4 linked regions of the Anolis sagrei genome follow. The protein of the gene in region 1 interacts with the protein of each later gene in a pairwise test. Links are inferred from orthologs where the notes say so. Each region holds a gene or a part of one and is shown in the gene's direction. Other genes may lie near its edges.

Region 1 (7,321 bases):
GCACACAAATGCCCCATGGGAGGGAATTGTGGGGGGGGGGGGGGGTGACCCAGGACAAAACAAGTTGTAGTCTGTCTACATCCAGAGATGACTGTGACCCCCACCAATGATGGTAACTGACCAAACTTGGCACACATGCCATCATGACCAACTTTACTGCTGGTGTTTGGGGGTGGGGTTGGACCTAAGACAATTGGAGTTGCAGGTCTCCCACAATCAAAGAACACTGTGAACCTCACCAATAATGGCTCTCTAGAACGAACTTGGCATACATACTCATCCTGACCAATTTTAATTGATGCTATTTAGGGGAGATGGACCAGGGATGATGAAGTGGTAGTTTATGCACTTTCGAATGGGACCATTCCTAAATTCTAATAACTAGCATTACAAATTACCTAATCCAGTCATCACCAGGCACTAAAGCTAGTAAATAAACAGGTTAAAAATCCAGTTGTAGCACAATAAAAACAAATTTTAAAACAATTTTAAATTAACACATGGATTTGTTAGTTTTTTGAACCAATTCCAAGCAAGCTATGTCCATATTATCGTCACAGAATTAGAAAACTTGGCAAAACGTGATGCTCAAACAGACATTTTTAAGACTGGATATAGTTTCATTTAAGTACTTGATACATGTAATTGCTACACTGTAATTATGTTACAGTTTCACTATTTAATTGTACATATTCATTCTCTTTTTTGCCCTTTGAAAAATTCGTATTTTGATGCACACCCAAATTAGTTTTATCCAACCTTCAGCAACTTATCTGTGGCCTTGTATAGTCACTGTGCCCATTCAGCAACAGGAACCCTTTGCTTCAGCTCAAGGTGATCTCTGTGCAGCGTGCACCATGCCAAGACCACACCATCATTGGCATCACTGCATTCTGCGCCATCTCACAATAGGAAAGAATCTTCTGCACAATATGGACCTTGCCAGCCTCACTGTATGGTGTTGATTAAAAATGGTCAAATTCTCAGCATAGGGGGGTTTACTTGGTCGGTATTTGAATAATTCGCCATAATAATCATATTAGAGAAGTGAAAAATATTAGTATTAATCATCAGTTTCCATAATGCTTGTCAACTTCTTTTTTTCTTTTTGGTGTCTTCAGTGCTTAAATTTCAGAGGTGAAACCTGCCTCCAATTCCTGACACAGACAGAAAATAAATTGATAGCTCTAGAGACAAACTGCACAGGGTTTTTTTTTTGTAAGAATAAAATGGAAAGTGCAGCAAGATGATGTGCATATCAAGTTCCCTGAGAGAAGGCAAGGATGCTAATTGTTTTAAATACAGTATGATTCTGAGGATGTATCCATAATGGCTTTGTGATTAACTTCACCTCACCCATCTGAGGTAAATGAGACTGAACGTGGATAGCTACTAAGGTATCCGTCAGTTTTTGTGGCTGAGACTACACACCAAAGTGCCTTTGTTGTTATTGTGTGCTTTCAAGTCTCTTCCGGCTTATGACAACCCTATGTTGAGTCCATTATGGGTTTTTCTGTGGCTGAAAGAGTGCCTCATCTAAGGTCACCCAAGAGGTTTCCATGGCCAAGACGGGATTTAAACCTGATCTCCAGACTCATAGTCCAACACCCAAACCACAACACTGCACTGGCTGCCAAAGAGCATTTACTTGGAACTTTATTTTTTTACTTCCACCATGCCTGGGCCCAGCAGATAAAAGGCCCTCACTCCATCCTAACTGCCACGGATGTGGCCTCAGAAGATGGAGACAGTATCTGCTGATCAGTTGTCCCTTATTTTGTTTTGTGTCAGTCATACCATTGTTGTTGAGCATGGACCACCCCCCCCCCCCCCGGGTCAAATTATATTGTTTTACTGGGTCTACGGCAGGGACAAGCTACAGCTAACAAGGATCTTTTATTTGGCAATATTCCTTTTTGCGGGTGATTGAGGGTCTGGAAGAGCCCTGCAGCAGCTATCAACACCCAGGAAACTTTTAGAACACTTTCCCCATTTGCTTAGTTATATTGCTTTCTAACCCTAAATAAATGTGCCACAAAGTGTGTTATCCTCTATGTCTGTCTCCATGCATCTTCCTTGCCTCCTGAGTATCTTTTTCTCCTGTCTTCACCCTCTGCAGCCGGCCTGGTGGCCACTTGGGCCACATGGCCCTCAGAAATGGGCTTATTCTCTCACTCTCCCCCACACTAACCACCCCCCTCATGTCCGTCAACCACTTTGCCAACTCCCCCACTCCTGTGGGTGCCCTGGTTCCCTCGGTAGGAGTCCCCAGTATCCATGGACCCCTATTTTTCCCATTTAATGTGTACATTTTATATTTTTATGAATAAAAACATTTTTTGATATGAAACCACCAATCAAGACCTTCTGGTGACCATTCTCCAGCACCTCATGATCCAGGAAATCCCCTCCAGCAATTTTCATGGGCATCATATTAATAATTAAGGATTCAATCACCCATCATCTTCGGGCCAGTCCATCTCTACTGGCCCCATAACTCCAGCTGTGCAGAGGACAACAGGAATCCAAGGTATGGGCCGCCTGTCCTTTGTGCAGCTACTTGGACAAAGACACTCATCACCTGGCATGACATCCCAACAATTGAAAAGTCATGCCTTGTTGGACAATACTCTGCAGGAAATACAATGGACATGAGCACTGCGGATGCTGGGCCCAACTTGATTGGGTCACTCAGAAACACAAAGACATTCCATAGAATGCATGGACTTGATAGCCTCTCTTTGTTCTGTCCCTCAATGCGACAAAAGTTATTCATCCAACTGTACTTTGTCTCCTGAACTAGCCTGCCCCTTGTCAGCCATTGGGGAATGAGAATCTGCATTGGAACCGGGGAATGTTCTCCCATTGGCTGGCAAGAGATGCAAGAGATGCAGCCCTGCCTCTGCAGGGAATCCTCCCTCAGCTGTTCATGATGTCCATGGAGCTTAGCCAATCATGGCGGGGCCAGTTCCAGCTGGGGCAGGAGCGGGAATTTCAAAGGGTTTCTGTCTATAAAAATGTATGTTTTGAACTGTATGGCATCTCAGCATACTTTGGCGGACTACCGTGAGCTGGCATCATTTCAACTGATTTGAATAAAATCCCTCAGTAGCTTCTTCTTCAACTTGGTTTGATTTATTTGGGACATTGGAATAGCTTCTTTGTCTTGCCAGGCACAGGGATCCAGAAGCGGCCTACATCCAGTACCAGTATCCACTTACTGGGACTTGGTATGCACATTACAGGTTTCGCTATACACAGTTGCTTTAAATTGTTTGATTTCAGTGTTATCAGTTTATTAAAGTTTCCGCCACAACGAAGACCAACCAGCGATGACGTCATTGAGGCCACTGAGAATAATGCCTTTCATTTTGCCTTCGATCCATCTGTGTCTCATCCGGCCTTCCGGGAAGCTTGACACACCAAGTCCCGAACCTTTGGCTCTTGCAGAAGCTGAAATCCACGTAAAATTAGGGTGCGTCTACACCGTAGAACTAATGCAGTGGACACACTTGAACTGCCCTGGCTCAATGCTTAACCCCCTACCAACCCCAGAGATTACTTTGGTCCGAGGACCAAAATTTGCTTGAAGTCCCCAACATCTGGACTTATCATCTGTCCTCTACTAGGCAGAGAGCCATCTCGGTTGTGGCCCCTTATTTATGGAATGCCTTGCCAGTTGAAACCCGAACCACCCAAGAGCTACTTGCTTTTCAGAAAGCCTGTAAGACCTTTCTTTTCCAACAAGCTTTCGATGGGTGAATAACTCAGGACTAAGTCGGTTCTCGTTTTTATTGTATTTTAAAGTTGGTTGTATTGTTTTAATCTACTTCTGTAAACCGCTCCGAGCCAAATTGGGAGTGGCGGTATACAAGTCAAATAAATAAATAAAATGCTAGGGAATCATGGGAGCTGTAGTTTGATGAGGCTCCAGCACTCTTTGGCAGAGAAGGACTGAAGTCTTGTAAAACTACAATTCCCACGATTCTATAGAATTGAGCCAGGGCCTTTCAAGTGGTGTCAGACTGCATACATTCCACAGTATAGGTGTCCTCTTAAATTGTGACTCTGAAAGCTGGAAAATGCTTAGGGGTTCTTTTAGGTGCAAAGCACCACATACAACGATAATGCTGTGCAGAAGTCTTTTACCACTGGTGTGATAAAAGACTTCTGAATGTGAAGAAATGCACGGGACCAGAATGAGCTGAGCTCACTCCTTGCCTGTCCCCTCACTCTCTCTTCCTCCGCCTCCCCACCCTCGAGAACAGTTGCTAGGCAACCTCTGCCAGGCAGGCAGGCAGCAGCGCAGAAGGCGCAGGATAATGACGTGGCCGGGCAGAATGTGTGGCTGGCGTCGCACGCTGCGTGCGTAGGCATCCTCCGCGCGCTGGACTGGACCCGGTGAGTGGATGGCGGCCCGCCCGCCCGCTCTTTCTCTCCCTCCCTCCCTCCCGCCGGGCCTTGCCAGGGGGCGGGGCTTCGGGAAAGGCTACAGATGGGCCTTCCGTACTTCCTGCCTCTAGGGCGCCGGAGGGCCAGGGGAAAAGGCCTCGGGGTTTCCAGAGCAGGAGGAGGTTCTTTCTTCCCACTTCCTCTGAGCCAGCAATAGGATGGGTGACACCTGACATGGCAGCAGGGTGTGCGAAAGGGAATGGGGGTGCATTCACACTGCAGAATTAACCCGGCTTTGCACTGCTTTAACTGCCATGGCTCGGTTTTGTGGAATCCTAGGGGTTGTATTGGTGAGGGTACCAGCCCTCTTGGAAAGAGAAGGCTGATAAAGGCTTTGTTAAACTACAGCTACCATTTTTTTTTCCGTATCAGGAGCGACTTGAGAAACTGCAAGTCGCTTCTGGTATGAGAGAATTGGCTGTCAGCAAGGCTGTTGCCCGAAGAGTCGGAGACGACTGAACGAATGAACAACAACAACAAAGGCTGTTGCCCAGGGGACGCCTGGATGTTTTTGCTGTTTTACCATCCTTATGGGAGGCTTCTCTCTTGTCCCCACACGGGGAGCTGGAGCTGACAGAGGGAGCTCATCTGTGCTCTCTCTCCAGATTTGAACCTCCTACCTGTTGGTCTTCAGTCCTGCCAGCACAATGGTTTAACCCAAGGGTCCTCAAACATTTTAAACAAAGGGCCAGGTCACAGTCGCTCAAATTGTTGGAGGGCCAGATTATAATTTGAAAAAAAGCATGAATGAATTCCTATCCACACTGTGCATATCTTATTTGTAGTGCAAAAAATAAATAAAAATAAAACACTTAAAACAATATGGTATTTAAAATGAAGAACAATTTTAACAATTACAAACTTATTAGTATTTCAATGGGAAGTGTGGGCCTGCTTTTGGCTGATGAGATAGGATTGATGTTGCTGTTGTTGTTGTGTGCTTTCAAGTTGTTTCAGTCTTAGGTTGACACTGAACAAGGGCCGGGTAAATGACCTTGGAGGGCCGTATCCAGTCCTCGGGACTTAGTTTGAGGACCCCTGGTTTAACCCATTGCGCCACTGGGGCTCCAACTACCATGAGTACCGCCCTGAAATGGACTGAAATGGGCAGGATAGAAATAATGTAAATAAATAAATAAATAAATAAATGATTTCATAGCTCTGAACCACAGCAGTCCAAACCGCATTCATTCTACAGTGTTGTTGTTATTGTTTATTTGTTTAATTGCTTCCAACTCTTTGTGACCTCATCGACCAGCCCACGCCAGATCTCCCTGTCTGCCGTGGTCACCCCAAGCTCCTTCAGAGTCTAGCCAATTACTTCAAGGATACCATCCATCCATCTTGCCCTTGGTTTGCCCCTCTTCCTTTTTCCTTCCATTTTCCCCAACATCATTGTCTTCTCCAAGCTTTCCTGTCTTCTCATTATGTGGCCAAAGTACTTCATTTTTGCCTCTAATATCCTTCCCTCCAATGAACAGTCAGGCTTTATTTCCTGAAGTATTCTACAGTGTAGATGCACCCCTTAGCAGGTTGGGAGCAGGGCTCAATGCAACCCAATGAATTTCGACAGGATCAAATGTGAGGTACTACATTTAGGCAATAAAATTGAATTCACAGATATAGGAGAAGTGACACTTGGCTTGACATCAGTCCATGTGGAAGGGATGTTGGAGTCTCAGAGGAACTACAAGCAACAGTCAGCAGTGTTATGCAGCAGCTAAAAGAGCCAATGTGATTTTAGGCTGTATCAGTAGTGTCAAGCTCGAGGGAAGTCATAGTCCCACTCTATTCTGCTTTGGTCAGATCTCACCTGGAATACTGTGTCCATTTACTGTATGGGCACCACAATTCAAGAAAGATATTGGCAAGCTGGAACGTGTTTAAGAAGGGCAACTGAAATGATCAAACGTTTGGAAACCAAACCCTATGAGAAGCGGGGGGTGTTTAGCTTGGAGAAGAGAACGCTGAAAGGGGACATGATGGCCATGTTTAAATATTTGAAAGGATGTCATTAGAAAGAGAGAGCAGGCTTATCTTCTGGAAAATAGGACAAAGAGCAATGGATTCAAATTGCAGGAAAAGAGATTCTACCTAAACTTTAGAAAGAACTTCCTGATGGTAAACGCTGTATGGCAGTGGAGTATGCTGCCTCAGAGTGTGGTTGAGTCTCCTTTGCTGGAGGTTTTTAAGCAGAAGCTGGATGGCCATTTGTCGAGAGTGCTTTGATGCCTGCATGCCAAGGGGTTGGCATGCAGGCATCAAATGATTCTGTTTGTAGAGTGCTTTCCATTTATTTCATAATGATCTCTCATAATTGTCTCCTTTTCAAGAATGAGTTATTAAGTGTTAATTTTTTAACCCGGGTGGCGCAGCGGGTTAAACAGCTGAGATGTGAACTTGCTGACCGAAAGGGTGGTTCAAAGCGGGGTCAGCTCCCACTGTTAGGCTCATCTTCTGCCAACCTAGCAGTTCAAAAACATAAAAATGTGAGTAGATCAATAGCTACTGCTTCTGCAGGGAGGTAACGGCATCCATACAGTCATGCTGGCCACATGATCTTGGAGGTGTCTACGGACAACCTCAGTTCTTTGGCTGAGAAATTGAGATGAGCAACCCTCCCCCCCCCCGAGTTGGACATGACTAGACTTAATGTCAGGGGAAACCTTTACCTTTACTTATGGTTCTAGGAACTTCATATACACTTCCTATTGTCTCATCCCTGTATACATATACACGCAGTTCCCCAAGTTACAAACCAGATAGGTTCTGTAGGTTTGTTCTTAAGTTGAATTTATAACTCCAGCCAAATATGTATGTGTATATGATTTGGATACATAGGAAAGAGTTAACACCCCTGTAATGTTTG
Region 2 (7,586 bases), on another chromosome or scaffold:
GCCAGAACTCAATTTTTTGTCTTGCCCCATTTTTCCAAAGGAAAGAGATAAAAAACTTAATAGAAATACTATGCAAACAAAAAGATATCTTTTGAAACAAAAGCCTATTGGCTATGAGTGCCTCATGTGAACATATAATTTGTAAAAATATAAATGTGGAGATGATAGATAGCTACTAATGGCAATGCACAAAGTCAAATAAAGCTTCCATACTCCATTTATGCTGATTATGAATGGATGAATCTCTTGTACATACATATCAGGTAGGCATGTTCAGAATTATCACACCCCATGAACTTCCAGAATGTGATAAAGCTTTGAGAATATTTTCAAGATTCAAGATTGAAGAAGACAACCAGCATACCAGTACTTAAACAACACTTACTAATTGCCAAAAAAGAGAGAAAGAATTAAAATGGCACTGGCTGACATATAAAGTTACATAACTTAACAGGTCATTTAGGATTCTGGTATTTATTTTTAATTAGTGGTATCCAAACTTAATATAATCTCTGATGAGAATGGATATATTTTTTCTGCTTAGTTTGCCAGAAAATTTTGCTGTCACTGTCCTTATATTAAAGGACCATATTTGTTCACAAAGGCTGTGATGTCGTAATCCTAGTGGGCTAAGGTGGGGTAATCTCCTGACTCTTTAGGGATATGTGAAAAATTGCATGGATCCATCAACCTCACATTCAAAAGCTTTCAGCCAGAAGCCTGTTGGGACCTTCCATTTTTATAAGTGGAGTTACATCTGTGGGAATTAATACTGAACTGTTCTGAAATCTATCATCATCATCATCATCATCATCATCATCATCATCATCATCATCATCATCATCCAAAGCTGCTGTTTTGTTACAATGAAATAGAGTGAACAGATGTTATGTTACTATGTAATAGAATGAGCAAAGTAATGGATGTGCAATGAGATTATGCACAATGGGATGTGGATTGCATATCCCAGCACACATTGCATCAGTCTCTATGCACATTGGGCACCACAGATACACTCTTATTGGTGTCCTGTTAGACATATTTCCTATTCAATAAAGGGATTTCTTAAGATCCCTGTAATGTAGCTAGATACAGGCAGTCCTCAAGTTACAAACAAGATAGACTCAAGTTACAAACAAGATAGTTTATTCTTAAGTTGAATTTGTATGTAAGTCAGAACAGGTACATATTGTAAGTGTAACTCCAGCCATATATACACAAGATAGGTTCTATAAGTTTATTCTTAAGTTGATCAGTTAGGATTCTAGTGTTCATTTTTAATTAGTGGTACTCAAAGCTTACAGAAAGGAGGATGGATGTAATTTGCTGCCTAGTTTGCCAGAAAATCTTGATAGTTGCTTTATGTATGGAACCACCATAAACAATCCATGGGAAACTGCTTGATTCCAGGTCAGATTATTTTATTGCCTATCCAAAATAGTTCCCCATAATCTATCTCTCAGAAAAGACAAAATAAGATAAGCGAAAATATATTTTTAGGAGCAAAAAATGAAAAATGTGAAACAAAATGGGATAATGTCATATGTTTGGGGGAAAAAACCCTACAATTTAAGCAGTGTTCTTTCTCAAAATATTTCATCAATTTTTCCCTGAGATCCAGAATTGTGTAATTGTTTAAGCATTGGACTATGATTCTGGAGACAAGAATGCACATCCCTGCATGGTCATGGAAACCCATTGGCTTCATTTTATGGTTGCCATAAGCTACAAATGACATGAAGGCACACAACAAACACATTTTTCCCATGTGAACTTTTATCTGTATCTTGGGGATAAGTGGGAAATCAATTATTGACTTTGTCCTTTTAGATTTAGGCTCAGAACAAAAATGGCTTATTTTCCCTGGCAGTGGCTCCAAATGCTTTCAGGAGATTAGGTTATTTGCACCATTCTCTCCTTCAGTTGGAAATGTCAAGGATTCAATCTGAGAACATTTGAATTCAAAATCAGGACTGGCTCTACAGAGAGTTACCTCAGATGAGAGAGGCTGTGAGGCAGCAGCAATAAGCTGGTTTCTAAGCAGCTTGGGTCAAAACAGCTGGAAGATAATTAGCCTGCCCTGTGTTCTGCAAAAATTGCTTCGTTCACATTCAACAAAATAGGATCAATAAATCTTCAGGACAAGTCAATTGATCAATATTCAGTAATTATAGTGGAGCCCTGGTGGTGCAATGGGTTAAACCTTGAGCCGGCAGAACTGCTGACTGAAAGGTTGGTGGTTTGAATCTGGGGAGTGGGGTGAGCTCCTATCTGTAACTCCAGCTTCTCATGCAGGGACATGAGAGGAGCCTCCCACAGGATGGCAAAACATCTGGATGTCCATTGGGCGACATCCTTGCAGGCAGCCAATTCTCTCACACCAGAAGTTACTTGCAGTTTCTCAAGTTGCTCCTGACATTAAAAAAAGTAATTATAGTACCTTCCTAGATCATAAAATATGAACAATGATAGGTTAGAAACCTCTCCCAAATCCTGGGTTCCAGCATATTTCCAAATATCCTATCTTGCAAGCATCATAGTAGACCCCAAATTTCTTTTCAAATCTTTGCTGGATGACATTAGGAAAATGTGCTCCCCCCATCACTGTTTGATGGTAAGCAATTGCTTCGTTCTATTGCTAGGCATGGGAACAAAAATAGCATTATATTAGCATAATCAGATCCCTGATTATCTGCTTATCCCAGATTATCTGGCAGTGTAGATTCATATAATCCAGTTCAAATCATATAACTTGGGTTCAGATCCTGGGATACAGAGCAGCATAAATCTAGCCCTAAAGATGATTCAGCCAATAAAATTTAACACAAAGTCTCACTCAACTGTTAATAGGCCCATGGCCCCAAAATAAGAGAGAATAAGGTTTTTAAACAGTGTTTTAGTTTGCTCTGTTATTATATTTTTAACCTGTACTTTGTTTTCAGATGCCATTGGTAAAGTTAATTAATGCATGTACTAAAGGTATTCCTCAGATCCACACTGCAAGAAGACAGCTTCTATTCTAGAAAGCTTGGAAGCAATAGCTAGGTGACCTTATTAGGGTTTCCATATCTTAAAGCTTATTTACTCTTTATTTATTTATTTATTTATTTGCTTTATTTTTATACCGCATTTTTCAGCCTAATTCGGCGACTCTTTTCTAGATATGAGATTGAGGGGAAGGAATCTTGGGGTTAAACAGGTGTGTGTTTGTATTTTCTTCATTTGTTAGACCATTTTTCAAAATGAATTGCATGTTCTGTTCTTCTACTGCTGTTGATGCTTGATATATCATGCATAATGATATCACCAGTCCCTGTGTCCTGTGACATCAACATGATGTCATCAGTAACTCTCAGGTTCTGGACCTGAGATTTCAGGGATACTATCAGGGGTAGTAACCTTAGTCTTCACAGATGAAAATATAGAAAATGGAGCCTTTTAGTCCACTTTAGTCTCTTAATTTCCATGGGTTATTGTTTCCTAGAAGTCCTGCTAGATGGACATATTTTCCAGTCTTTTAGTATTAATTTGATACTTGTATATTGTTCAGAAATAATTCAGACAACACCCAGAAACCCAGCTCTAATTACCAAATGATCTCATCAGAAGCTCACAAACCAGTTTATGAGTAGCATCTGTAACGGAAATATCAGTTGCATGTTAAATGCAGTAGTATTATGCAGCAATTCCTGAAGCACTCACAAAGACTGTCTTTTTGGTTGGAATGACTGATAATGTCTTATGCCTGGTAGCCAGAGAAATATAATTCATTATATCAGTATCAGTTATAAAGAAAAAGAAATGTTAATCAATCCAGTTTTCACCCAAAACAATAACTGTAACCCACTGTAAGTATCCAAAGACGACTCTGTGGAGCCAGCGTAGACAATTGAGATTGCCTAGACATGTATTTTGTAAGACAAGAGGAGACATTGTGTTGGCACATAAGAAATAGTTAGAGCAGCAATACAATACTGAGTTCTTATTGTATTTTAATGTTTCCAGTAAATGTGATATTTTGTCTCTCAGTCTAGTGATCACATGCACTGTTACCCAGAATGAACATGCCCTCATCCTCAGAATCATGACTTTACTTTAATTTCTGATTGGCTCAGAAGTAGAGTATTTATAGCTCTAATATTTCTGTTTCTTTTATAATAACAAAACATTGGCAAAACAATAGAGAATACTAAATCAAATGATAGCCAAAATTAATGTATTTACATAAATCATGTCATTTTAAGATTCCATGCTGACATCATCCTGTTGACCAGAGAAAGTGCAATTTTTATCAGAGTAATACAATGATCCTCATTGCATTATTTCTTGTGCAGTTTAGTCATATGAACATATCAGTGCAGGAATCTCAAGTGCTTTAGTCATTATGACATACATTATGACACTGCTTTCATTGGTAAAACCCATTGTGATGCCACATTTTCTTCCCAAGTGATCAGTATTTTCTCCAGAGGTCCAAAATAAAGTATGGGGCAGTTGCTCTGCAAACATAAACAGCAAGTAAAGCTTTCTAGGACTAAAAAAAGGGAAACCTTAAATATCTGGGAAGACCATGACTGCCATGAGCTGTGCATGTTGCTGGACATGCCCATGTTGCCCAGGTTGTAAATGTTGTGGATTCTGCATCAAGTTTCGAGACTTTGTGAATAATATAACCTCTGGCAGATGCTGCTCTTGTTGGCTGTTCTTATTTAGTGATGAGCGGCAGTGGGACTGCTGTTTTTGCCCACATCGTGAAGATTCAAGGTGCCAGTGCTGCCACTGTTCATGCTCGGAGAATCCGAATTGCCGCTGTTGCTGTTGCTCCTGTTCTACTAATCGAAATTGCAAGTGTTTGTGCTGTACAGATGCAAATACTGAGTGTCAGTGTTATGACAGTAGATGCTGCAGTTATCTCTCCTATTTGCCATATAGGCGTAAACATAAACTGAAAAGGTAAGTGTTGTAAAACTAAAATGTTAAGGATCACAGTCCTGTACTTGTACACTTACATCAGGGTGTTACTCCATCAACCCCAGTAATGACTATCTGACTGACAGCACATCTCAAATGTTTCAAGTAAATGACCTTTTGGAGTGAGGTGTGTGTGTGTGTGTGTGTGTGTGTGAAGGCATTGCTCCCTCCATAAAAATTCCTTCAGTTTTCAAACTTCTAGTATTGGTAATTAAAACTTTAGTTCAGTATTTAGTAATGGAGTTTAGGCATTCAAAGGAAAGGGGCAGCCAAAGTTAACCAGGGAATGCAAACACAGCAAATATAAGGATTCTAGGCTCAAACAATTTCAGTGTCTAACTTATTGCATGGCTGGAATTTATTTTGTTGTGCCTTCAAGTCATTTTTGTCTTATGGTGACCTAAAGTTAACTTATCAACTTTTTTTGAGATTGAGTGTCTGGCTCATCCAAAGCCACTCAGTGAGTTTCTATGGCTAAGAGGGAAATTGATCTCCAGTCTTCAGAGTCATGGTCCAGTGCACACACAACTACAGTGGAAATTTTCATGAAGGGGCAGAATTCTTAGTGGGAGGCAATGTCTCAATTTTGCATACGCACAGAGTCATTTTGTTACACCTCTGAGTCTTTACCATCATTAGGCATTCGATTTGAAATCAAAACCAATCTGGAGTTGCTGTGGACTGAACTTGAGGCATACAGCATGCAAAATGGAATTTACATATGAGCATGGACAAAATAACTTCTTCAGAAGGATTTAGTATACATTCAGAGCCTGGGAATGGGATAGTCAGCTTTTTGAGCTCTAAATCCCAGAATGCCCCAGGATTAAAGAAATGCTAATTGCTTCTATACATGGAAAGAATGATAAGGAGAGGACAGGACCAAGATGTAAAGCACACACACTGTTTTTCATAAAATTGGATGTTGGGGAGGCTACACTTTGCTAACAAATATACATATTCAAAATCAATGTCAAAATTAAAAATATATTAGTGAAATTGAGGGCCACTTACATAAAATGAGATGTGAGTGAATGATAAGATTATAAAATTCAATAATCCTGATCCCAGTCATGGATGTTTTATATTTTTTAAAAAAAAATCCACACAACTTTTAACTGAAGGAAACTTTTGAAGAGGGATTTTTCTGCCTTCCCAGTTCATGAAGACAGTAATCAGGTTTATTCAGCAAAACCTATTTTGTAGTGAAGTGCTTGATATGATCCTTTATTACTGTCTCCATTCACTTTTAGAAAATAGATTACTTGGTTTAACCCACTTTTTACAATTCTCAGTTTTAAACCATGGCAAACCAAGACTTAAGAACAGTTGCCAGTGGCAGTGCTGAATAGTACTTAAAAGATGGAAACCTAAGCCCATTTCATTTCAACTTACTGGATGCTTTAGGCAACTTAATGTTAACCCTCTTTCTCTGCTTGAGAAATTAGTTGTAGGTATTACCTGAACTCCACAGGTCAAAGTTAACCTCCATTTTTTAGAGTTCCCCTATCTATTTTTTTATTAACTCACACAATGCACAATAAACAAGTCAGATTTTATGTTATTTGGGATCTGTTGGTCCAGGACCAAACCCATTTATATCAATAACAGCTTCATCATATTGTTGACAAGCTCTGACCTCATCAAAGCTTGGAAAAGTTACTGCATTGGATGGAAGCTCCCCGCATCTCCATACTAGCTCAGGGATTCACCATTCAACCAAGTAATTTTTCTATGTTCTACAGCTGATATATGAACTCTAGACTAGGACTTCTTTGGGGAGATGGGGTGGGATATAAATAAAGATATTTTTATTGTTGCTATTATTAAATTTTTCAACTTCGGACCCCTTTTGGCCCAAGACAATTTTACATGATCCTGGGTATATAAGTATATAAAATAGGTAAAAATATCAAACATATATGGATAACACAACATCATTTTTAAGTGGGTTGTTGTAGGTTTTTTCAGGCTATATGGCCATGTTCTAGAGGCATTTTTAAGGCTTGCTGCCCCTGGTGGTGCAGTGAGTTAAAGCACTGAGGTGCTGAACTCGCTGACAAAAGGTCACAGGTTTGAATCTGGGGAGCAGCATGAGCTTCCACTGTTAGCCCCAGCTTCTGCCAACCTAGCAGTTCAAAAACATGCAAATGTGAGTAGATCAATAGGTACCGCTCCGGTGGGAAAGTAACAGTGCTCCATGCAGTCATGCCGGCCACATGACCTAGGAGGTGTCTACAGATAATGCTGGCTCTTCAGTTTAGAAATGGAGATGAGCATTGGACTTAATGTCAGGGGAAAACCTTTACCTTTAAACAGTTTTTAATGAAGCATCTTATGTAGAGTCCATTGTAAATGCTGGACAAATTTGTGTAAATTTCTAAAACAGTAACTAAATGGCAGTCAGAAAATTATTACTGTTGCCAGTTTTTGACGACACCAACATTGAGTTAAAGGGATCTTATTTGGGGTTGTGATCCACAGTTTAAGAAGTCATATTCTAGACCAGTTTTTACTTGTACAACTAGTAAAGAAAACTATCTCCTTCATTCACCAATAATTTGACTTTTAAAAAATAATTCTGTTCTGAAAACTTGTATGGTATTTTTCTCTGT
Region 3 (7,588 bases), on another chromosome or scaffold:
TCAATTCGTCCATGTTTGTCGTCGGATCTTCCTTTAGCTGCCAGCATGTCCAAAAGCTTGGTCCCATATCCAGGTCTTCAGTTTTTTCCTGAACGTCTGAAGGGAGGTCGCTGATCTAATTTCCCCGGGGAGTGAGTTCCACAGGTGAGGGGCCACCACTGAGAAGGCCCTGCTCCTCGTCCCCGCCAACCTCACTTGTGACAGTGGCGGAGTCGAGAGCAGGGCCTCCCCGGATGATCTTAAATTTCGAGATGGGATGTAGAGGGAGATCCGTTCGGACAAATACACTGGGCCGGAACCATATAGGGTTTTGTAGGTTAAAACCAGCACTTTGAATTATGCTCGGAATTGGATCGGCAGCCCGTGGAACTGATGTAACAGGGGGGTGGTGTGCTCCCTGTACGTCGCTCCGGTGAGCAATCTGGTTGCTTCTCACTGGACTAGTTGTAGTTTCCGAGCAGTCTTCAAAGGCAACCCCACGTAGAGTGCGTTGCAGTAATCCAACCGGGATGTGACAAGAGCGTGGACCACCGTGGCCAGATCCGACTTCCCAAGGTACGGGCGCAGCTGGCGCACAAGTTTTAATTGTGCAAAAGCTCTCCCGGCCACCGCCGAGACCTGGGGTTCCAGGCTCAGCGATGAGTCCAGGATCACTCCCAAGCTGCGAACCTGCGTCTTCAGGGGGAGTGTAACCCCGTCTAACACAGGCTGTAACCCTATTCCCTGTTCGGCCTTACGACTGACCAGTAGGACCTCTGTCTTGTCTGGATTCAATTTCAATTTGAGTTGCCCCTGGGCTGAGAACAGCAGTCTATAAGCACAGTAAATAAATATTTATTTATTTATTTATTTATTTATTTGCTGCATTTATTAACCGCCGTTCTCAGCCCTAGGGTGACTCACGGCGGTGTACAACATATAAAAGACAATTTACAATAAAGCCAAGACGACAAAAAACCAACATATCACTAACGCACAATCATCTAATTATACTAAAAATAATCCGCTCCATCTTATCGTGGAATCATAACCAATCTCGTAGTCCATATACCGTTCCAGTTGTCATTCCAGTTACTGTAGCACTCAGTTAAATGCCTTCTCGAATAGCCATGTCTTCAGGCTCTTAAGGAAGGACATAAGGGAGGGCGCCTGTCTGATGTCAACAGGGAGGGTGTTCCACAGCCGGGGGGCCACCACCGAGAAGGCCCTCTCTCTCGTCCCCGCCAGACGTGCCTGTGAAGCAGGCGGGATCGAGAGAAGGGCCTCCCCAGACGATCTCAAAGTCCTCGTGGGCTCATAGGCCGAGATGCGGTCCGAAAGGTATTTTGGGCCGGAACCGTTTAGGGCTTTGTAGGATAACACCAGCACCTTAAATTGGGCCCGGTAGCAGATCGGCAGCCAGTGGAGCTGGAACAACAAGGGCGTTGTATGCTCCCTGCGTCCCGCTCCAGTTAGTAACATGGCTGCCGCGCGCTGGACTAGCTGAAGCTTCCGGGCCGTCTTCAAGGGCAGCCCCACGTAGAGAGCGTTGCAGTAGTCGAGGCAGGATGTGACCAGAGCGTGCACCACCGTGGCCAAGTCAGACTTCCCAAGGTACGGGCGCAGCTGGCGCACGAGCCTAAGCTGTGCAAATGCTCCCCTGGTCACCGCTGAAACCTGGGGATCCAGGCTCAACGATGAATCCAGGATCACACCCAAGCTGCGAACCTGCGCCTTCAAGGGGAGTGCGACCCCATCCAACACAGGCTGTAACCCTATGCCCTGTTCGGCCTTGCGACTGACCAGGAGTACCTCTGTCTTGTCTGGATTTAATTTCAGTTTGTATAATTTAATAATTTAAATTAATTTAATAATTTAATTTAATAATGTATAATTGTATAATTTCAGTTTGTCTTGTAATAAGCAAGAATAGCTCACTGGCCAGCTTGATTGGCGCTGAATGGCCTCGCAGCTTCAAAGCCTGGCTGCTTCCTGCCTGGGGGAAACGTCAGGAGAGGGTCAAGCAGCCCGGAAGACGCATATGACAACTCAAGGCCTACTCAAAGCACTCAAGTTGGTCAGGGAGTCAGGCGGTGCGCGCCTCTTTTCGGGCCCTCCCGCTGCGAGGACTCACTTGTTGAGGTCAACCTCGTAGGTCTGCATCCGGGGCTTCTCTCCGCGCTTGTCCGGGTCCCACCGGTACACCGCGAACCGCTTGATCCGCGCCGCCGTCGCCGCGCTCGCCCTCACCGCCGCGGTCACCGCCGCCATCTTGTCCTTTCCTTCTCTCCGGAAGGGTCCGTGGTAACCACTTCCGGTAAGGGCGGGGAAGGAGAAAAAGGGAGCACGCGTCCTAGAAAAGGCGGCCATCTTGGAAAGGGCCGTTCCTCAGTCCGCAACTATATAGAACTTCAGCCGGCGGCCATCTTGGGTAGGGCCCTTCTCAGTCCGCAGCTATATTGAACTTCAGCCGGCGGCCATCTTGGGAAGGGCACTTCTCAGTCCGCAGCTGTATTGAACTTCAGCCGGCGGCCATCTTGGGAAGGGCCCTTCTCAGTCCGCAGCTATATTGAACTTCAGCCGGCGGCCATCTTGGGAAGGGCCCTTCTCAGTCCGCAGCTATATTGAACTTCAGCCGGCGTCCATCTTGGGAAGGGCCCTTCTCAGTCCGCAGCTATATTGAACTTCAGCCGGCGGCCATCTTGGGAAGGGCCCTTCTCAGTCCGCAGCTATATTGAACTTCAGCCGGCGGCCATCTTGGGAAGGGGCAAGAAGCCTCAGCTGGCGGCCATCTTGGGTTCTCCCTCCCTTCGCTCCCAGGCTTCTCTAGGGAGGGAATCCCAAAGGTCATCCAGTCCAGCCCCCCCAAAAAGAGAAATAATAACAAAAAGTATTATCATATTATTATATTATATATAATTATATATTATATATTATTATATTAAATGATAATATATATAGATAGATAGATAGATATTATCATTATGCTCTTAACACTATTAGTACTTTTGTTCTATAATAGTAGGAAAAATTTAATATTATTAATCATATTAATGTTATATTATAATAATATTAGTATATTATATGTATTATTAATAATAGTATTATTACATTATATTTATTATCAATAATAACATCAGTATATTATATTTATTATTAATATTAACAATAATATTAGTATTAATCATATTAGTATTATATTATAGCAGTATAATAATATTAGTATATTATATGTATTATTAAAAATAGTATTATTACAGAAGAACAGAAGAAGAAGAAGAAGAAGAAGAAGAATTATCAATAATAACATCAGTATATGATATTTAATATTAACAATAATATTAGTATATATATTTATAAATATTATCAATTATATTAATATAATATAAGTATTAATACTATTAATATATTAGTATATTATAGTTATTAATAATGTTATTAATAATATTGGTATAATATAAATATTAATAATATTAGTATATTATATTTATTAGTAATGTTATTGTGAGTCGCCTTCGGGCTTGAGATACAGCGGTATATAAGCAAAGTAAATAAATAAAATATAAATATTAATAATATTAGTATATTCTATTTATTAATAATGCTATTAATAATATTGGTGACTCACGGCGGTTCACAAACAGTAAAAACAGTAGAAACAGCAGTGGTTCCATACAACATATAACAATTGACTTAACACATTATCCATAAATTACCAATAAGCAATTACAATGCACAATTATTACAAAAAACAACCGTACCCAATCTTCTCATCATCCAAGTGTAGTCCAGATTCGTCGTCCATTGTTCCATTCCTATGTTCCATTACCAGATTGCACTAAATTACTCAAACGCCTGCACAAACATCCAGGTCTTCACCTTTTTGCGGAATACCATTAGAGATGGTGCTAGTCTAATGTCCGTAGGAAGGGCGTTCCACAGCCGAGGAGCCACCACCGAGAAGGCCCTATCTCTCGTCCCCGCCAGCCGAGCTTGAGAAGCAGGTGGGATCGAGAGCAGGGTCTCCCCGGAAGATCTCAAAGTCCTGGTGGGTTCATAGGCAGAGATGCGGTCAGATAGGTAGCTTGGGCCGGAACCGTTTAGGGCTTTAAAGGCCAACGCCAGCACTTTGAATTCAGCCCGGTAGCAGATCGGTAGCCAGTGGAGTTGGCGCAACAGGGGGGTTGTATGCTCCCTGTGCTCCGCTCCTGTTAAAATCATGGCTGCCGAGCGTTGGACTAGTTGGAGCTTCCGAGCTGTCTTCAAAGGCAACCCCACGTAGAGAGCGTTGCAGTAGTCTAAACGGGATGTAACCAGAGCGTGGACTACCGTGGCCAAGTCAGACTTCCCAAGGTACGGGCGCAGCTGGCGCACAAGCTTTAGCTGTGCAAATGCTCCCCTGGTCACCGCCGAGACCTGAATGTTATTAATGATTAATAACATTAGTTATGTTATGGTGTAGATATTATTCTATTTCCATTACTACCATATTGTCCTATAAGGCACCCCACGTGGGCAAGGAAAGAGGTTGCGGCCCCTTTAAGAGGCGTGGAATGTGAAAAGGAAACCTCAGGCGGGAACTAGCCAATCAGGGCGCGAGGCGTTGCTTACGTCACAGGGAAACCAACGTTCAAGTCCTGGGCTTCTGTTGTGCTTTCAGGTTTGCATTGAAACACTCCTTATTGCTATTTATATTCCTATTCCACTCTTCCAACTATTATATGTACAGGCACAAATATATTTAATTTAAATATCCATTTGTTTTATGTTGCTGTGTGTCTAATTTATATATAGCTTGGGGACCCGGGTTGGTCTTTATCAGTTATTTATATGGCTCACAGTGGTCTCAGGAAGTTAGTGAAGGTACAGCGAGTCCCATCATCCATTGTCCATCCTCCTCCAAACTGCACCAGGATATAGAGTGGGTCATGGGGACTCTGTGTGCCAAGTTTGGTCTTGATCAGTCATTGGATGAGGGTCAAAGTGGTCTCAGAAAGTGAGTTAAGGTACTTAAAGTCCCATCATCCATAGTCTGTTTTCCCCCAAACCTCACCAGAATGTTGAGTTGGGCATGGGGGCTCTCTGTGTCAAGTTTGGTCTTTATTGGTATTTGGATGAGGGTTGTTGTGGTTTCAGGAAGTGAGTGAAGGTACTGCAAGTCCCATCATCCATCGTCCATCCTTCAAACAGCACCGGGATGCAGGGTGGGTCATGGGGGCTGTGTGTGCCAAGTTTGGTCTTGATCGGTCATTAGATGTGGGTTGCAGTGGAGTGGAGGTACTTTAAGTCCCATCATCCATGGTCTGTCCTCCAAACTGCACCAGGGTGTACAGTGGGTCATTGGGGTTCTGTGTGCCAAGTTTGGTCTTGATCGGTCATTAGATGTGGGTTGCAGTGGAGTGGAGGTACTTTAAGTCCCATCATCCATGGTCTGTCCTCCAAACTGCACTAGGGTGTACAGTGGGTCATTGGGGTTCTGTGTGCCAAGTTTGGTCTTGATCGGTCATTAATGAGGGTTATAGTATCCTTGGGAAGTGAGTGGAGGTACTTGAAGTTCCATCATCCATGGTCTGTCCTCCTCAAAAGTGTGTGCCAAGTTTGGTCTTGATTAGTCATTGGCGAGGGTCTCAGAAAATGAGTGAGGTTACTGCAAATCCCATCATCCATCTCCATTTTTTTCCAAATGACACCAGGACATAAAGTGCGTCATGAGAGGTCTATGTGCCAAGTTTGGTCTTGATCAGTCATTGGATGAGGTTTGCAGAGGTCTCAGAATGTGAGTGAAGGGACTTCAAGTCCCATCATCCATGGTATGCCCTACTCCAAACCGCAGTGGGATGTAGAGTGGGTCATGGGGGCTCTGTGTGCCAAGTTTGGATTTGATCGGACATTAGATGAGGGTTGCAGCAGTCTTGGGAAGGGAGTGGAGGTACTTGAAGTCCTATCATCCATGGTCTGTCCTCCTTGAAAGTGCACCAGGATGTAGAGTGGGTCATGGGGACACTATGTGCCAAGTTTGGTCTTGATCAGTCATTGGCGAGGATCTCAGTGGTCTCAGGAAGTGAGTGAAGTGACTGCAAGTCCCATCATCCATTGTCAAATTCTTCCAAACCGCGCCAGGATGTAGAGTGGGTCATGCGGGTTCTCTGTGTAAATTGTGGTCCTGATCCATCATTGTTGGCAGTTGTAATGGTCTTAGGAAGGGAGTGCAGGTATTGCAACTCCCATCGTCCATGGTGCATCCTCCTTTAAACTGCACCAGGATGTAGAGTGTGTCATGGAGACTCAGTGTGCCAAGTTTGGTCTTTATCGGTAATTGGATGAGGGTTGCAGTGGTCTCAGGAATTGAGCAAAGGTACTGCAAGTCCCATAATCCATGGTCCACCAAACCACACCGGGACGTAAAGTGGGTCATGAGAGGTCTATGTGCCAAGTTTGGTCCTGATCAGTCATTGGATGAGGTTAACAGCGGTCTCAGAATGTGAGTGATGGGACTGCAAGTCCCATCATCCATGGTTCATCCTCCTCCAAACTGCAGTAGGATGTCGAGTGGGTCTTGCGGGCTCTGTGTGCCAAGTTTGGTCTGTAGTGGTAATTTTCTGACTCCGCCCCTCTCTTTGTCATCTCGGAATCTTGGAATTGGGGCTGGCCAATCAGAGACCATATGCAAATTTCCTTCTCATGTCCCCGTTTCTTTTCTCCACCAGGGGCTCCTATTGAAGCTGGCCAATCAGAGACCATATGCAAATAGCACCACAGCGGCAGCCAATCAGAACGCTGGCACATACTCCTCCCACCACACTTTTGTCCTCCGCATACAAACTTTGACTTTTATTATATAGATAGATAGATATATATATAAATATAGATAATAGTAACCAACTTACTTAATCAATAATAATAATAATAATAATAATAATAATCTTACTATTTCTGGAAGCCGGAAGATGGACTTGGAGAAGCTTCGCCTCTTGAACCAGGATCTCTTGCAGAAGCTGAAAGCGAACCAAGAAGCCTTAGGGAAGCGAGTCCCATCGTCCACAACCCTGCAGAAGGAGGTATGATAGGAAGGGGACCCCAAAGGTCCTCCAGTCCGATCATAGGGTTGGAAGGGTCCCCAAGGCTCATCTAGTCCAATCGTAGAGATGGGACCTCCAAAGATCATCTAGTCCGATCATAGCGTTGGAAGGGACCCCTAAGGTCATCTAGTCCGATCATAGAGGTGGAAGGTGACCCCAAAGATCATCTAGTCTGATTACAGCAGTGGAAGGGAACCCCAATGGTCATCTAGTCAAATTGTAGGGCTGGAAGGGACCCCCAAAGGTCATCTACTCTGAGTACAGAGATGAAAGTGACCCCAAAACTCATCTAGTCCAATCTTGGGGTTGGAAGGGACCCCAAAAGTCATCTAGCCCTATCTTAGAGATGGAAGGGACCTGTAAAGGTCATCTAGTCCAATCATGGGGTTATAAGGGAACCTGAAGGCCATCTTGTCCAATTCTAGAGATGGTAGGGATCTCCAAAGGTCATCTAGTCCAGTCATACAGATAGAAGTGACCCCAAAGATCATCTAGTTTGATCATGGAAGGGGACCCCAAAGATCATCTAG
Region 4 (7,274 bases), on another chromosome or scaffold:
GTTGAACCCATGGATACAGAACCTGTGGATACGGAACCCGTGGATACGGAGGGTCATCCGAACCTATTGCTATAAAAGTTAGTACAGGTTTCTCCTCATTCAGAGTACATCGATATCTACGGTGAAGAACTGATGCAGTTTGGCATCACTTTAGCTACCCCAGCTCAATGCTATGGAGTCATGGGAGTTGTAGTTTTGCAAGGTATTTAGCATTCTCTTCCAAAGAATGCTGGTCCCTCACCAAACTACAGCTCTCACGATTCCGTAGCACTAAGTTATGGTAGTCAAAGTAGTGTCAAATTCCATCGATTCTACAGTGTAGATCAGGCATGGGCAAACTTCAGCCCTCCAGGCAAAGGCGGCCCTAGGTAATTTTCAATGGTAAGCAAACAGTATTTTGGCGCCCCAACCAACCAATCACTGATATATATTTTCTGTTCGTTGTGGGAGTTCTCTGTGCCATATTTGGTTCAATTCCATCCTTGGTGGAGTTCAGAATGCTCTTTGGTTGTAGGTGAACTATACATCCCAGTAACTACAACTCACATATGTCAAGGTCTATTTTCCCCCAAGAGCACCTCAAGAGCGCCCCTGGACAAAACAAACTATACTGCAAATGCTTACTTTGCGTAATGGGTTGAGCTGCCCCTGCCTCCAGGTATATGGGACCTCAACTCCCATAATTCCTAATAGCCAGTAGGCTGTTAGGAATTGTGGGAGTTGAAGTCCAAAACTGCCTTTTCCTCTCCTTTGCTTCAGTTTCCCCTGTTCATAGAATTTCCTAATAGTGTAGACACCTTCCTTTGTATTAGTTTTGGGTGGAGCATAACACCCCCCAGAAGCCAGCCTTAGTTAGTCTATTCCATTTCCCTGTATAGAGCTCTCTTGCTGGGCTCCTCCCTTTTCTACAGTCACTAGAGACTTGGGGCATTGTCTAGTAATCCTAGGCCAAGCAATCCAAAAACAGGCATCCTTAGCACCTGCATTTAGCAGTATTTTTACACCATCTGTCCACAGGACAACAGAAGCTTTTGGCCAGCCTAAGTTTCATAAGGAAGAAGATTGAGACAGTTTATAACCATCGCTTTGCGCCAGAGGCAAAAGACTTTCAAAGATTCCAGAAAGATGGCTGCAACCAGCAAAATCCCCTTTTGTAATGTATTGTTTTAACTTACCTTATGCTAGTCCTGAGTGGAGTTAACCCTTTACTCATCTTGTTTCAGTAAACTCATTTGGTTATCTTTTCACCTTGCCTCAAAGTGTGTCTGTCTTCTAAGGGTCTTAATTTTAACAGAAGGTATCAGATAGCTAACAAGTAAAGCCAGACGATATAGTTTTCCCAAAGGCTCGGGCATGTCATCACACCTGATGTAGATGCACGCATAGACTATGGGGAGAAGTGTGATTGAGATTGCCGCTTGATAATAAGTTTGTTAAAATAAAGGTAAAGGTTTCCCCTTGACATTAAGTCCAGTCGTGTCCGACTCTGGAGGGTGGTGCTCATCTCCATTACTAAGCTGGCATTGTCCGTAGACACCTCCAAGGTCATGTGGCCAGCATGACTCCATGCACATAGGTACCTTCCCTCCGAAGTGGTACCTATTGATCTACTCACATTTGCATGTTTTTGAACTGCTAGGTTGGCAGATGCTGGGGCTAACAGCAGGAGCTTACCCCACTCCCCCGATTTGAAGCACTGACCTTTCAATCAGGAGGTTCAGCAGCTCAGTGGTTTAACCCACTGTGCAACCAGGGGGCCCAAGTTTGTTTACAGGTCCATAGTCACTTTTCTGATTGACAGGTATGGCACATTTTCCCCTTGGCTCTGGAACAAGGTTCGCCACTGAGATTTTTCTATGGCAATAAAAAGTCAGGAATCCAGGGTGTTTCCCTCCATTATGGAAAGGAGTGGTATCAGATTCATAGAATGGTGACCAGCCTTGGCAAACAAAGCTTCAGAATGTGTTCCAAAAGTACTCCACCTTGGTTATCACCTTTGGATGCGTCATGGGCCAGCCATTTCTATTGTCCTCCTAGTGTGCATCTACACTGTAGAATTAAATCAGTTTGACACCACTTGAACTCTCAGGGCTCACTGCTATGGCATCCTGGGAGTTTTAGTTTTGTGTGACAGCAGCACTTTGCCAGAGATGGCTGAAGACCTTGTTGAACTACAATTCCCAATACTGTCTTGATAGTAAGAACTTTTTTGACAATGGAATATGTTTCCTTGGGAGTCTGGTGGGGTCTTCCTTGAAACAGAGGCTGGGGGACATGTGAAAAAGAAATCCTTGTGGACAACAAGTTAAACATGAGCCAACAATGTGTTGCTGCAGCTAAAAAAAGCCAATGGGATTTTGGCCTGCACCAATAGGAGTCTAGTATCTCGATCTAGGGAGGTCATGCTCCCCATGCTCTATTCTGCCTTGGTTAGACCACACCTGGAATCCTGTGTCCAATTCTGGGCACCACAATTGAAGAGAGATGTTGACAAGCTGGAATGTGTCCAGAGGAGGGCGACTAAAATGATCAAGGGTCTGGAGAACAAACCCTATGAGGAGTGGCTTAAAGAGTTGGTATGTTTAGCTTGAAGAAGAGAAGGCTGAGAGGAGACATGATGAGGGCCATATATAAACAATGGCTTCAAACTGCAGGAAAGGAGATTCTACCTGAACATTAAGAAGAACTTTCTGACTGTGAGAGCTGTTCAGCAGTGGAACTCTCTGTCCCAAAGTGTAGTGGAGGCTTTGTCTATGAAGGCTTCTAAACAGAGGCTGGATGGACACAATACGCTTATTAGGCCAACGAGTGACCATCACTCATAAAAACATTGAAAAACACAGCAAAAGAGACTTTTAAAGCCAAAAAACCAAAAAAAATACATTACAACTCATGCCCAAAAGCACATATATACACAAACACACATATATACACATATCCACAAATATAAACACACATATATGCACACACAAAACACATATACACAGAAAGGGGGAAGGAAGGAAGGAGAGGAGGAAGAGAAAGAGTGAAAGAATCATAGAATCAAAGAGTTGGAAGAGACCTCATGGGCCATCCAGTCCAACCCCCTGCCAAGAAGCAGGAATATTGCATTCAAATCACCCCTGACAGATGGCCATCCAGCCTCTGTTTAAATGCTTCCAAAGAAGGAGCCTCCACCACACTCCGGGGCAGAGAGTTCCACTGCTGAACGGCTCTCACAGTCAGGAAGTTCTTCCTCATGTTCAGATGGAATCTCCTCTCTTGTAGTTTGAAGCCATTGTTTCGTGCCCTAGTCTCCAGGGAAGCAGAAAACAAGCTTGCTCCCTCCTCCCTGTGGCTTCCTCTCACATATTTATACATGGCAATCACGTCTCCTCTCAGCCTTCTCTTCTTCAGGCTAAACATGCCCAGTTCCCTAAGCCGCTCCTCATAGGGCTTGTTCTCCAGACCCTTGATCATTTTAATCACCCTCCTCTGGACACATTCCAGCTTGTCAATATCTCTCTTGAACTGTGGTGCCCAGAATTGGAAGGAAAGAGAAGGAGGGAAAGAGAGAAGAAAGGAAAGAGAGAAAGGTAGAGAAGGAAGGAAGGGCAAAAGTAAATAAAAAGTGAAAGAAGGAAGGAAAGAGAGGGGGAAGGAAGGAGAGAAGGAACGAAAGAGAGGAAGAAAGAGGGAAGGAAGAAAAGAGACAAGGAAGGATGGAACCAAAGAGGAAAGTAAGCGAAGAAAGAAACAGAGAAGGAAGGAAGAAGAAGGAAAAGAGGGAAGGGTAAGAAAAAAAAGGGAAGGAAGGAGAGAAAGAAAGAAAGAAAGAAAGAAAGAAAGAAAGAAAGAAAGAAAGGAGAGAAAGAGGGAGGGAAGCTTGGCCACAGCAATGCGTGGTGGGTACAGCTAATAGGTATAATATAAAAATACTCAGCCACGCCACGCTACGCATTAATCAGTGTTTGCCACATATTAATGGGTGGCAGCGGTGGAATAATCAAATAAAAGTCCTCCCTTCCTGAAGATTGATTCCTGGATTTCCTGGGTTGTCCGCTTCATCAGTTAAAGCAGCATCAAACTGCTATATAGTACAGATACACCCTTGGGCCATGCCTGGGATAATCCCTTCTGCTCCATAATTCCACTAAATTGCGACCTTTCCCCCCAAGTAAACATACTGTTTCTTTAAAATAAAAGGGCAGAAGTCAGGCTGGGTATTAAGCCCTGGAATGAGGGTGTAACCGGTTCAGCAAATGACACTCACACAAAGGTGGTGCTTTAGGCGATGCCAACCGAGTTGAGTTGTGTGTCTTCGGAGGGGTCGAGAATGGGAGGAACTGATTTCTTGACCTGGCTATTAGTCACAGCTGACTAATGTGTGTGTTTGTGTGTCAGGAAGGTGGGAGAGAAGGAGCAGTGAGAATGCTGGACGGCTACTTTCCTTCCTGGCGCATGAATGCCTTCGCTCTCCAAAAAGGCTCGTTGCCAGAAGAGTGACAAATACTTCCGCCTGCAGACTCTCCAATGCACTTGTAACCTGTGGCTGCGGAGTGGCAGCGGGACAGACACCACTGCAAGTGTATGAGTTACTACCAGGTTCTGATAGAGAGAGATTACAGAGAGAGAAACAAGAAATAAGTCTCTGCACCTGTCTTGCCTACACACCTGTGGATTTCTCTGGCCGTCTTCCTGGAGGGGCAGAAGGAAGGATGAGCATTTCCTCGGAACCCAAATCCTTCCCAAAACAAAATGTAAACAGTCTCCAAACGGTGAGTGAGAAAAGACAAGGGTTTAGAAGAGAGTTAAATTGCACCCCTAAATTTGATGCCCCACATAAGAAAGTTCCTTCCATTGCAAAGAGTGAGACACTACAACAGTGCTTCCTAATGCTGCGACCCCTTAATACAGTTCCTCATGTTGTGGTGACCCCCAACCATAACATTATTTCCGTTGCTACTTCGTAACTGTAATTTTGCTACTGTTATGAATCGTAATGTCAATATCTGATATGCAGGATGTATTTTCATTCACTGGACAAAATATGCCCAAATTTGGGGGGAGGAGCTGTAGTTGCTGGGATTTACAGTTCACCTACAATCAAAAAAGCATTCTGAACTCCAACAATGGTGGAATTGGACCAGACTTGGCACACAGAACTCCCATGACCAATAGAACATAGAGCACTGTGGACTCAAACAATGATGGATACGGACCAAATTTGGCATAAATACTAATACTGAATATGCTCAAATGTGAACACTGGTGGAGTTTAGGGAAAATAGACCTTGACATTTGGGAGTTGTCGTTGCTGGGATTTATAGTTTGCCTACAACCAAAAAAGCATTCTGAACTCCACCAATGATGGAACTGAACCAAACTTGGCACACAGAACTCCCATGACCAATGGAACATAGAGCACTGTGGACTCAAACAAAGATGGATACGGACCAAATTTGGCATAAATACTCAATATGCTCAAATGTGAACACTGGTAGAGTTTAGGGGAAATAGACCTTGACATTTGGGAGTTGTCGTTGCTGGGATTTATAGTTCACTTACAATCAAAAAAGCATTCTGAGTTCCACCAATGATGGAATTGAACCAAACTTGGCACACTGAACTTCCACAATGAACAGAAAATACTGGAAGGGTTTGGTGGGCATTGACCTTGAATTTTGGAGTTGTAGTTCACCTACAGCCACAGAGCACTGTGGACTCAAACAATGATGGATACGGACCAAATTTGGCATAAATACTCAATATGCCCAAACATGAACACTGGTGTAGTTTGGGGAAAATAGACCTTGACATTTGGGAGTTGTCATTGCTGGGATTTATAGTTCACCTACAATTAAAAAAAGCATTCTGAACTCCACCAATGATGGAATTGAACCAAACTTGGACACAGAACTTCCACGACGAACAGAAAATACTGGAAGGGTTTGGGTGGGCACTGACCTTGAATTTTGGAGTTGCAGTTCACCTACAGCCAGAAATCACTCTGGACTCAAACAATGATGGATCTGGACCAAACTCTACACGAACACTCAATATGCCCAAATGTGAACACTGGTGGAGTTTGGGGAAAATAGGCCTTGACATTTGGGAGTTGTAGTTGCTGAGATTTATAGTTCACCTACAATCAAAGAACATTCTGAACCCCACCAATGACAGAATTTGATCAGATTCTCATACAGAACCCCTATGACCAACAGAAAATACTATGTTTTCTGATTGTCTTTGGTGACCCATCTGACACCCCCTTGCGATCCCCCAGATGTAAATGTAATAATGACAATAATAGAGTAAAATAATAAATGTAATAATTATAGGATAAAATAATGTAAATGTAATAATAATAAATAGAGTAAAATAATAAATGCAATAAAATAATAGAATAAAATGATGTAAATGTAATAATGACAATAATAGAGTAAAATAATAAATGTAATAATAGGATAAAATAATGTAAGTGTAATAATAATAATAGAGTAAAATAATAAATGTAACAATAATAGGATAAAATAATGTAAGTGTAATAATAATAATAGAGTAAAATAATGTAAATGTAATAAGAACAATAATAGAGTAAAATAATAAATGTAATAATAATAATAATAGGATAAAATAATGTAAATGTAATAAGAACAATAATAGAGTAAAATAATAAATGTAGTAGTAATAATAATAATAGGATAAAATAATGTAAACATAATAATAATAAATAGAGTAAAATAATGTAAATGTAATAATAACAATGATAGAGTAAAATAATAAATGTCATAATAATAATAATAGGATAAAATAATGTAAATGTAATAATAATAATAATAATAACAGACTAAAATAATAAATAACTTTGACTCGAGGATAAGACGAGGGGGGCTTTTTCAGCCTTAAAAAAGGCTGAAAAACTAGGCATACACTCAAGTATCTACAGTATATATTCTATGTGTATATAATGAACAACATTTGGGCGTGTGCCATAATCAATCATATGTATATGTCATGACATGCCAACACCTGTAATATAAACAGAGATTCCTCACCTCCTCCAGGTTAACCTCTCTCCTCCCCTCTCTTTTCCCAGCTTTGTCGTGAGACATTTTGATCCTGGAGAGAAAACAATCCACCAGTCTTCGAGTGACAAAACAGTAAATTAAATCAATGGCAAAGGAATCTGTCAAAGTAGCTATTTTTTTCCATGTCTGGAACAACTTTAGAAACCGCAAGTTGCTTCTGGTGTGAGAGAACTGGCCGTCTGCAAGGACGTTGCCCAGGGGATG

The links.
Region 2: the proteins of STK16 (region 1) and TRIM42 interact in binary tests that used the Homo sapiens proteins (3 or more experiments, as listed by UniProt). The two-hybrid records come from large-scale screens. The link is inferred for Anolis sagrei from reciprocal best matches to the Homo sapiens genes STK16 and TRIM42.
Region 3: the proteins of STK16 (region 1) and MIIP interact in binary tests that used the Homo sapiens proteins (3 or more experiments, as listed by UniProt). The two-hybrid records come from large-scale screens. The link is inferred for Anolis sagrei from reciprocal best matches to the Homo sapiens genes STK16 and MIIP.
Region 4: the proteins of STK16 (region 1) and KCTD14 interact in binary tests that used the Homo sapiens proteins (3 or more experiments, as listed by UniProt). The link is inferred for Anolis sagrei from reciprocal best matches to the Homo sapiens genes STK16 and KCTD14.

Annotation. Positions count from the first base shown.
Region 1 is NC_090021.1:230,318,244-230,325,564, forward strand, and holds the start of STK16 (serine/threonine-protein kinase 16), read left to right. Parts: upstream 1-4,309; 5' UTR 4,310-4,401; intron 4,402-4,468; exon of another isoform or gene 4,469-4,637; intron 4,638-7,105; exon of another isoform or gene 7,106-7,321. UniProt on the Homo sapiens protein: Membrane-associated protein kinase that phosphorylates on serine and threonine residues. In vitro substrates include DRG1, ENO1 and EIF4EBP1. Also autophosphorylates. May be involved in secretory vesicle trafficking or intracellular signaling.
Region 2 is NC_090023.1:230,542,902-230,550,487, forward strand, and holds the start of TRIM42 (tripartite motif-containing protein 42), read left to right. Parts: upstream 1-4,570; coding exon 4,571-4,953; intron 4,954-7,586.
Region 3 is NC_090033.1:7,882,070-7,889,657, forward strand, and holds the start of MIIP (migration and invasion-inhibitory protein), read left to right. Parts: upstream 1-4,565; 5' UTR 4,566-4,639; intron 4,640-6,919; 5' UTR 6,920-6,926; coding exon 6,927-7,037; intron 7,038-7,588. Other genes in the region: SDHB (succinate dehydrogenase [ubiquinone] iron-sulfur subunit, mitochondrial), read right to left, coding at 2,114-2,250.
Region 4 is NC_090023.1:10,031,030-10,038,303, reverse strand, and holds the start of KCTD14 (BTB/POZ domain-containing protein KCTD14), read left to right. Parts: upstream 1-4,259; 5' UTR 4,260-4,697; coding exon 4,698-4,757; intron 4,758-7,274.